Ovis aries: one gene and its partner. Each later gene encodes a partner of the first gene's protein in a complex. Links are inferred from orthologs where the notes say so. Each region holds a gene or a part of one and is shown on either strand. Other genes may lie near its edges.

Region 1 (3,231 bases):
AATAGACCTCCAAGGCGGGGCTGGGTGATACGGGAGAGGGAAAGGGAGACACAGCCCCTGCAGGCAGCAGGGGGCAGGCCTGTGACTGCAGTGGGCAGACAAGCTGCCTTCTGCCCACGGCCCTGCCGAGACCCCCCTGTGGAGGGGGCGCCAGGCCGCGGTCCTCAGACTCCAGGGCACGTATGAATCACATGCAGAGCCTGTTAGCCGGTCTCCTGGCCCCACCTCCAGAGACTGCCACGGCGGGTAAAGGAGGGCGCCTGTGAGCCTGCACGTGCGGGGGGACACTGATGCTGCTGGCAGCAGGACCACACTCTTGAGGAAGCCCACTGGGCTGCGGAGGGGAGCAGGCTGCTGGTGGCCCGAGGGCCGAGGGCTGTGACGGTCATCTCAGACGGGACGGAAACGTTTGCCCGTGAGCCCTCCCCTCTGCAGCCCCTCTGGGAGGCCCCTGGGCAATGGCTCTGCTTGCTCATTGCCTGGTCCCGTCTTCCCCAGGGGACATAGGGGCCCCAGGGACTGGTGCCCCACTCAGGTTGGTGTGCGCCTACCCCTCTCCTGGGCACCCAGGAGTCAGCACAACGCTGTACCAGACGGAAGGCATGTTTAACCGATGGAGTTTAATGTACTCATGGCACAAACATGGACAGGGTTGGGGGCGGCGGTGTCCAAGCACAGATGGGGATGGCCTGGGACCCCCACCCTCTGAGGCTGGGGGCCCGCGCTGGACCCCTCTTCCCCTGGCGGGACAAACACTGATGTGGCTGAGTGACAGCATCATGTGGCACGGGCTGGCCCTGAGAAGGCGTCTCTATTCAAAGCTCCAGACCAGGAGCCTCTAGTCGAAACGCCAGGTGCTGAGAGGGCAAACCGGTGTCAGCCTCACTGGGGAGGAGGGCGAGGAAGGGGAAGCCTGTCCTCGCTAAGTGCTGCCTGAGAGCTTCAGGACGGGGGAGGGAGGCACAGACAGCGAGGATCACATACACAGCGACGGCCGGAGACAAAATCTAGGAATGCTCGATAAACCCACGGCATCCAACAGAGTGGCAGCACGAGGGCAGCCCTGCCAGCCTGGCCAGAGCGCGGCCCGGGCGGTGCTTCCCACTCTTTCTGTGACCGGGAGCGGAACAGCACAGAAGGCTGTATTTGACCTCTGGAGGGAAAGATGCCTTTCCTTCTCCCTAAACTGACTCAGGGACTGAGAGACAAGACCTCTTGAAGATGAGCCTCTTCTGGGAAAAGGGGACTTGGGAGGTGAGAGTGGCGGCGGCAGAGCAGGTGCACCTGGGAGGAGGGGCTCCTGGGTGGAGCCTGGAGGGGCGCCAGGGTCCAGGGGAGCCCCTCCCTCCAGCAGGCTGGGCAGGCGCTTCCACCGGGAGCCTCCGGGCTGGGAGGGTGGGCCACCACGGCTGCTCACTGGGTCCGGAGCTGGTAATCTACAAAGAGGGAGGGGGGCGTCCATTGTCTGCTCTGACCCTGGAGGAGGGGCCGCCCCACCTGCCCTGACCCTGAGGTTGCTCCCTGAGCACCACCCTGGGGACAGAGGCACGCCCACCAGGGGCCTTTTCAGCAATCCCCCCCTGCCCCTAGGGCGGGTCGCACGCACCTCCGTTCTGAGTGATGTAGCGAACCCACGGTAAGGCCTGGTAGCCACTCTTCTCGATGATCTTCAGGTAACGCACCTGCGGCACAGGCATCAGGGCCCTAAGCATGCACACGCGGCCCCACTCCTGGCTGCCCACCCAGCCACTCCTCCTGGGGCTGGGCTGAGACCAAGAGGGCGAGGGAGAGGGCGAAGCACATTAGTCTATTTCACACTCAGGCCGGGGGAGGGTGGAGATGCTTCTAGAAGGTGCGGCAAGAGCCAGATGTGCACTCGCAGGCACGACCCTCTAGCAGATTCCTAGAGAAGGGGTCAATCCCAGGGTTTTCTGCCCCATACAGGGCTTCCGTGGAGGTGCCAGGAAAATGGACCCCACAGCGGCAAGTGTGTGGACATTAGTTTTGGGGGCTGAATGCATCTCTGAGCCTGGAGCACAGGTCAGGTGTGAGCAGACCACTGCAGGCCTCTTTCCATCAGGGCCAGGCTGCCCACGGAGACGGGCAGGGCGCCCACGGAGACGGGCAGGGCGCCCACGGAGACGGGCAGGGCGCCCACGGAGACGGGCAGGGCGGCCACGGAGACGGGCAGGGCGGCCACGGAGATGGGCAGGGCGCCCACGGAGATGGGCAGGGCTGGGGAGCAGCTTGGAGTGCTGGGACGAGTCAGCTAGCACCCTTCGCTAACTGGCTGCACTCGTGTCTGTCACCTTCAACCCTCTGAGCCTGGACTGGTGCCTGGCCCCTGAGAGGCCCCGCTGGGCCTGTCCATGTCTGCCCCGGGGCCCCGGCTGCCCTGGTTGCACGTGCCTGGATGCCAGAGGTAGTGAAGTAGGGGATCTCGAACTTGACGCTGATCGGGGGCTTGCCCTCCTTGTCCTCTGCCTCCACGCTGGGCAGGCCAAAGTGGGCCCGCATCAGGTACTCCTTGCCGCCCTGCGGGAGCAGACCACAGAGGAGATGGTCAGGCGGAGGCCCTGGCAGGTCCATCCAACAGCTGCCCCTGGAGAATGCCAGGCTGAGGGCCTGGCCAACGAGTCCCTTCCTGCACGGTCTGTGGCCACCCTGGGCCTCGGCTCCTGCAACACACTCACACTTACCTTATCCTCTAAGCCTCCTGGGCTGCCCACACCAGCCCCGCTAGGGAAAATTCATCCTCTAATTCTGAGGATGAAGAGAAACTGCTACAAGTTCCCAGGCACAGAAGCCTAGTTGCGTCGAGGAAAAGAAGAACACTAGGCCTTGGGGAGGAAGGAGGGAGAGGAAGAGCGAGCGCTGGCACGGGGCGACAGGGCTGCCTGGGACTGACGAGCTGGCCCTAGGTCTCCCCCTGGAAGGGAAAGGCTCTGGCCCTGGAAGCGGACTCCAGAGCTGGGACTTGTAGCGGGGGAAGGAATGGCTGCCCTGCTGGTGCAGTGGTAAAGAATCCACCTGCCAATGCAGGAGATGCTGGTTCGATCCCTGGGTCAGGAAGATCCCCTGGAGGAGGAAACGGCCACCCACTCCAGTATTCTTGCCTGGGAAATCCCATGGACAGGGGAGCTTGGCAGGCTACAGTCCACAGGGTAGCAAAGAATCGGACACGACTGAGCGACTGAACTCTCAGCCATGAGGGGTCAGGAGTCCTGGCCT
Region 2 (4,416 bases), on another chromosome or scaffold:
GAACCGCAGCTCTGGGCCACCTAGTTGAGATCTTTGAACCATCTCAGGGCCACCTAGGCAGTATGGGTGGCTCCCCACCGCCCCTGCTCCACCTTACCCACCCACCTTCCTTAACTGCTCCCTAAATTCCCTGGTCCTACCTACTTCACATGATCAACACTTCCTATGGGGAGGTATTGGCAGCTAAAAAAACATCCTGGTTTTAGCCGCTTGTCAAACCTTTTCTAAGCATATACATGCATCCTCAGCCATGTGCGATTCTTTGGCAAAACTGTGGACTGTAGCCCGCCAGGATCCTCTGTTCATGGTGTTTCCCAGGCAAGAATACTGGAGTGGGGAGCCATTCCCTTCTCCAGGGGATCTTCCTGACTCAGGGATTGAACCTGAGTCTCCTGCATTGGCAGGCGGATTCTTCACCACTGAGCCAGCAGGGAAGCCCTGCACAGGACACACTTATCCTAAAAAGGCATTATTCATTATTATAAGAAATTGAACTTGGTGTCCTCTTCCCCCCCCCCCCCTAAATCTGGCAATCCTAGTTCCAGGGAAGAGTGGAATGGAATGGGCAGGGTTCTGTTTCTGTCCTCACTGATTCCAGCAGCCCTGCCTTCCTTCACAGAGCCTAAGCAAGCCAAAGTCCAGAAATGCTTTTCCTTTTATTTCAGAGAAAGAAAAAGAATCAGACACTTTCCCCACCCCACCCCCTTAGCTCCTGCCTCACCCAGAATTTAAAGAGTGAAGGAGGGACAGGGCCCAGTCTCCTGTAAAGCCTGCCCTCCCCCCAGCCCTCCCTTCCCTCAAAGTAGCAAGGTTAGAAAAAAATTAACTATGCTGTTCCTCCCCGGGCACTGGACAGAGGCCCCACTGCAGCCAAGAAGGAAGGGGAGGGGCAGATGAGGGAAAAGGACTTCCCTCTGGAGACACAGAAGTCCCCCTCCCAGGCAGAGAGGCCGCCCCCGGCTGGCTGCGGGGAGGGCTGGAGGTAGGTTATGGGGCAGGGAGAAGAGAAGAGCCCTGAAAACCTTTTCCCTTTAACCTGACATATTTATATATTTACAGTTATAAGGATGGGGGAAGTTTGGGGTGACACTGGTTCTTCAAAGGCAGGGAATGAAAGCCAAATAGCACCCCCGACTTGGTCACATGTTCCTGCCTCCTAGCTCCTTAAAGCCTTCAGTGAGAAAAGGGGAAACAGGAGGTAGGGGTAGAAGGAGGGAATGCTTGAGGGTCCTGAGCCCACAGCTCACTGCAGAAAAAGGTGAGGCAGCAGAGCAGGCGCAGCTGGGTCCCAGCAGGAGGAAAAGGGCCACCAATGCCCCACCTCTCCACCAGATCCCCACATCTCCACTCGGCCCCAGGGCGAGGGCTATGCCAGACCCATCTCCTCCAGCACACTGCGTGGCGACTCATCCTCCTAAGGCAGAGACAGAGGGTGGTGGGGAGACACCAGGAGAGACGGGGTGAGGTTGAGGGGGGTGGGTGGGCAGCAATCACGAGGGCAGACCGGGGCAGGGGGGCGGACACAGAGACACAGGGGAGAGGGGAGAGAGAAGCCCAAGTAAGCCCAAGGCTGGAAAGGCCGGGGACCCTTCAGGGGAGCTGCCCAGCCTCCTGAGGCCTCCTTGTAGAGCCAACTGAGGCAACCAAACCGAGTCCACCACCACCCAGAGAACCCAAAGCCGGGAGCTCGTTGAGCAGGGGGCTCGACCTTATTAGCTGAAGGGAAGGGAGTAAAATGGGGGCTTGGGAGCTGGGAAACCTGCTTTCCCAGGGCTGGAGGTGGCAGATGGTTGGGTGGGACCTTTTTGTTTTTTCCCTCCAGAGTCGAGGGAGGCAGTAAGAAGTTGGCGTCAGGTCCCCGAGGAAAGTGGACCAGACTGCAGAGAGATGAGTCATAAGGGTCTGAGCAGAGCACTAGTAACAGGGTGGGTGTGCGAGTGCCAGGGCACATGTGTGTGTGTGTGTGTGTGTGTGTGTGTGTGTGTGTGTGTCTGTGTGTGTCTGTGTGAGATGGGGGACTAGACCAGTGAGGTAGCAAGTCAGATTCTACCCTCTCTCCGGCTGCACGGATGAGCACCCCCTCTCCCCCTCCTCAGAGCCGGCTCAGGCCGGCTTGCTCATCACTGCAGGTTCCGGTGACTCATCTCCTTGCACCAAGGCTCAGCAGCGGCACAGCAGAGAGGGGGCAGGCAGCAACGGGGTGAGGGCGGGGGTGTCGGACAGAAGGGAGGACCAACGACCAGGTGCCCTCCACCCAAACCCTGAAATCCCCAGGGCAAAACTCTGCTTCTCAGCAGCAGAGGCTTTGGGTATGTGTGTGTGTTTTTAAAAAAGGGAAGACACCAGGGAAGAAAAAGAATGACCTATTGTGTGCCCCTTCTCCAATTCTCCGGGCAACCCTAAACACCAAGAGAAGCATGGGACAAAAGCGGGCTGTCTGGCCCCCAACTACCTCCTACCCTGAGCAGTCAGGGCTTGAGGCCCAGCTGGCCAACCTGGCAGCGTGGGGGCCAAACGCCACAGGGAAGGGGGGCCGTTTCGGTAGCGGCGGGAAGAGGGCAGCTGGGGTCCACAGGTGAAGGGTCCAGGGTAGGGAGGGTGCCCTCGGCCACGGTCCTCTTCCTCCTCCTCACTGTCCCGGACCCGTACCTCCTGCAGTAGGTCCGCCTGCTCGATGGCCTTCAGCACACTCTTCTTGGAAGTGTCCTGGACGTCTCCCCCCATCAGAAACTCATCCAAGATGAAGTAGGCCTTCTCAAAGTTGAAGATGATGTCCAGCTCGCAAACCTGGGGGGCGGGGGAGGAGGCAGAGGTGAGGGTCAAGGTGCGTTCTCCCCCCTCGCCTGCGCCCCAGCCTCCCCAGCTCTTTCCCCACCTTGGCTCCGTGGCCTTCATGACCACTCTCCACCTTGGGTTCTTGCCCCAGGTCTATGTCCTCCTGACCCCTAGGCTTTCATCCTGGGTTCAGCTTTTCCTTCTCCTTTTCTCTTCCTCTGTGATCATGAGATATTAGTTGCTCAAGTCTACCCTTGACCCTGACTCTTGTTGCCTTCTCCCCTAAATCTATGACACAAATCCTACCAGAGGTTGGGTCGGCCTCCCCACCCATCCCCACCCCACTCCCTGCACCCCAAGGTGCTGTGACAGGGCAGGGAAGGAGACTCTGGGTCACAGAGTAAACGGCTTCAATTCTAGGCCACACTCTGACACTAACCAGCTAACTCTTGTTTTAGTCGCTAAGTCGTGTCCGACTCTTTTGTGACCTCATATACTGCAGCCTGCCAGGCTCCTCTGTCCATGCAACTTCCCAGGCAAGAATACTGGAGTGGGTTGCCATTTCTTTCTCCAGGGGATCTTTCCAACCCAGAGAACGAACCCACGTCTATTGCACTGGCAGGCGGATTCTTTATCACCAAGCCAGGAAAGCCTGGAAGGAAACCAGCTAACTCGACATGCCATTTAACTTCTCTTGAGTCCGTTTTCTCTTCCAAAAATGGAGACACCAACACCTACTCATGGAATGAGAAGCAAACAGGAGAACCTGAAAGCTCTTTGTAAACTGTTAAGTGAAACACAAGTTATGGTTATTACTATTCCCCATCTAAGATATGAGCTCACTGCCAGTGCCCAGGCTGTAGCCCAGATCAGTTCATTCAGAATCTCTGGGGGTGATTCCCAGGCATCGCTATTGTTTAAAAAAAACTATCCAGAAGTCTCCAAAGCAAAGTCAAGGTTAGGAACCACTGATACTATCTGAACATGACCTCTGTCTTTGTGTGGGAAGTTTGAGCTGAGCTGTAGATGGATTGATTAAGTGGCAGATTCTGGTTCCCACCCTTCTCCCATGGGGGCCTGATTAAGACGCATGGCTAATAGGCTTAAGGCTTAAAGAGGGAGATTAATTACTGTTCTCACTGTTCCAACTTCCCCTTTCCTGAGTCAGAACAGAGACTGGAAGGGTCCGAGTCTGGTAGAAAAAGAGGATTGCTGAGCGCGGAAACTGGGGTGGGTGGAGAGACTTACGCTGCCAAAGTATTTGTCCAGGAGCTCCACGTATCGGTGGATCAGCTCCAGCGTGATGAGCTCATTGTCTTGGCCCTCGATGGCACAGCAGAAGTAGAGGCTGGCGTATCTGAGGACGGGGACACCGGAGGGATGGATGGCTGGGTGTGCTGCCGGGGCTGCTTCGGGACCCAGGCATTCTGTGCCCCAACCTCCCATTTCCCCCATTCCTGATCTGTGTCCTTACTGGACACAGGCGGGGTGGCTCCAGGGTAAGAAAACGTCACTCACTGTGTCTCTTAGTGCCTCTCATAAACACAGGCAAAGAAACAAGCTCTTTCCCTCTGACCCATTCAGTTTGACTCAGCAAAAACCTGAGCCAACAAATTCACCTGCTCAGAGGAGGAACCACAA

The links.
Region 2: the proteins of AP1M1 (region 1) and AP1S1 are in contact, whole or in part, in a crystal structure (PDB 1W63), measured with the Mus musculus proteins. The link is inferred for Ovis aries from reciprocal best matches to the Homo sapiens genes AP1M1 and AP1S1. Residues at the interface, in NP_031482.1 of Mus musculus: Lys12, Glu31, Asn186, Asn188, Val189, Leu190, Glu232, Glu234, Asn270, His272, Arg421; in NP_031483.1 of Mus musculus: Lys26, Lys30, Arg33, Glu34, Gln37, Lys43, Glu51, Trp52, Arg53, Asp54.

Annotation. Positions count from the first base shown.
Region 1 is NC_056058.1:6,573,149-6,576,379, forward strand, and holds the end of AP1M1 (AP-1 complex subunit mu-1), read right to left. Parts: intron 2,536-3,231; coding exon 2,410-2,535; intron 1,683-2,409; coding exon 1,607-1,682; intron 1,437-1,606; coding exon 1,414-1,436; 3' UTR 601-1,413; downstream 1-600. UniProt on the Homo sapiens protein: Subunit of clathrin-associated adaptor protein complex 1 that plays a role in protein sorting in the trans-Golgi network (TGN) and endosomes.
Region 2 is NC_056077.1:36,001,628-36,006,043, forward strand, and holds the end of AP1S1 (AP-1 complex subunit sigma-1A), read right to left. Parts: intron 4,133-4,416; coding exon 4,024-4,132; intron 2,788-4,023; coding exon 2,449-2,787; 3' UTR 1,415-2,448; coding exon of another isoform or gene 1,367-1,414; 3' UTR 638-1,366; downstream 1-637. UniProt on the Homo sapiens protein: Subunit of clathrin-associated adaptor protein complex 1 that plays a role in protein sorting in the late-Golgi/trans-Golgi network (TGN) and/or endosomes.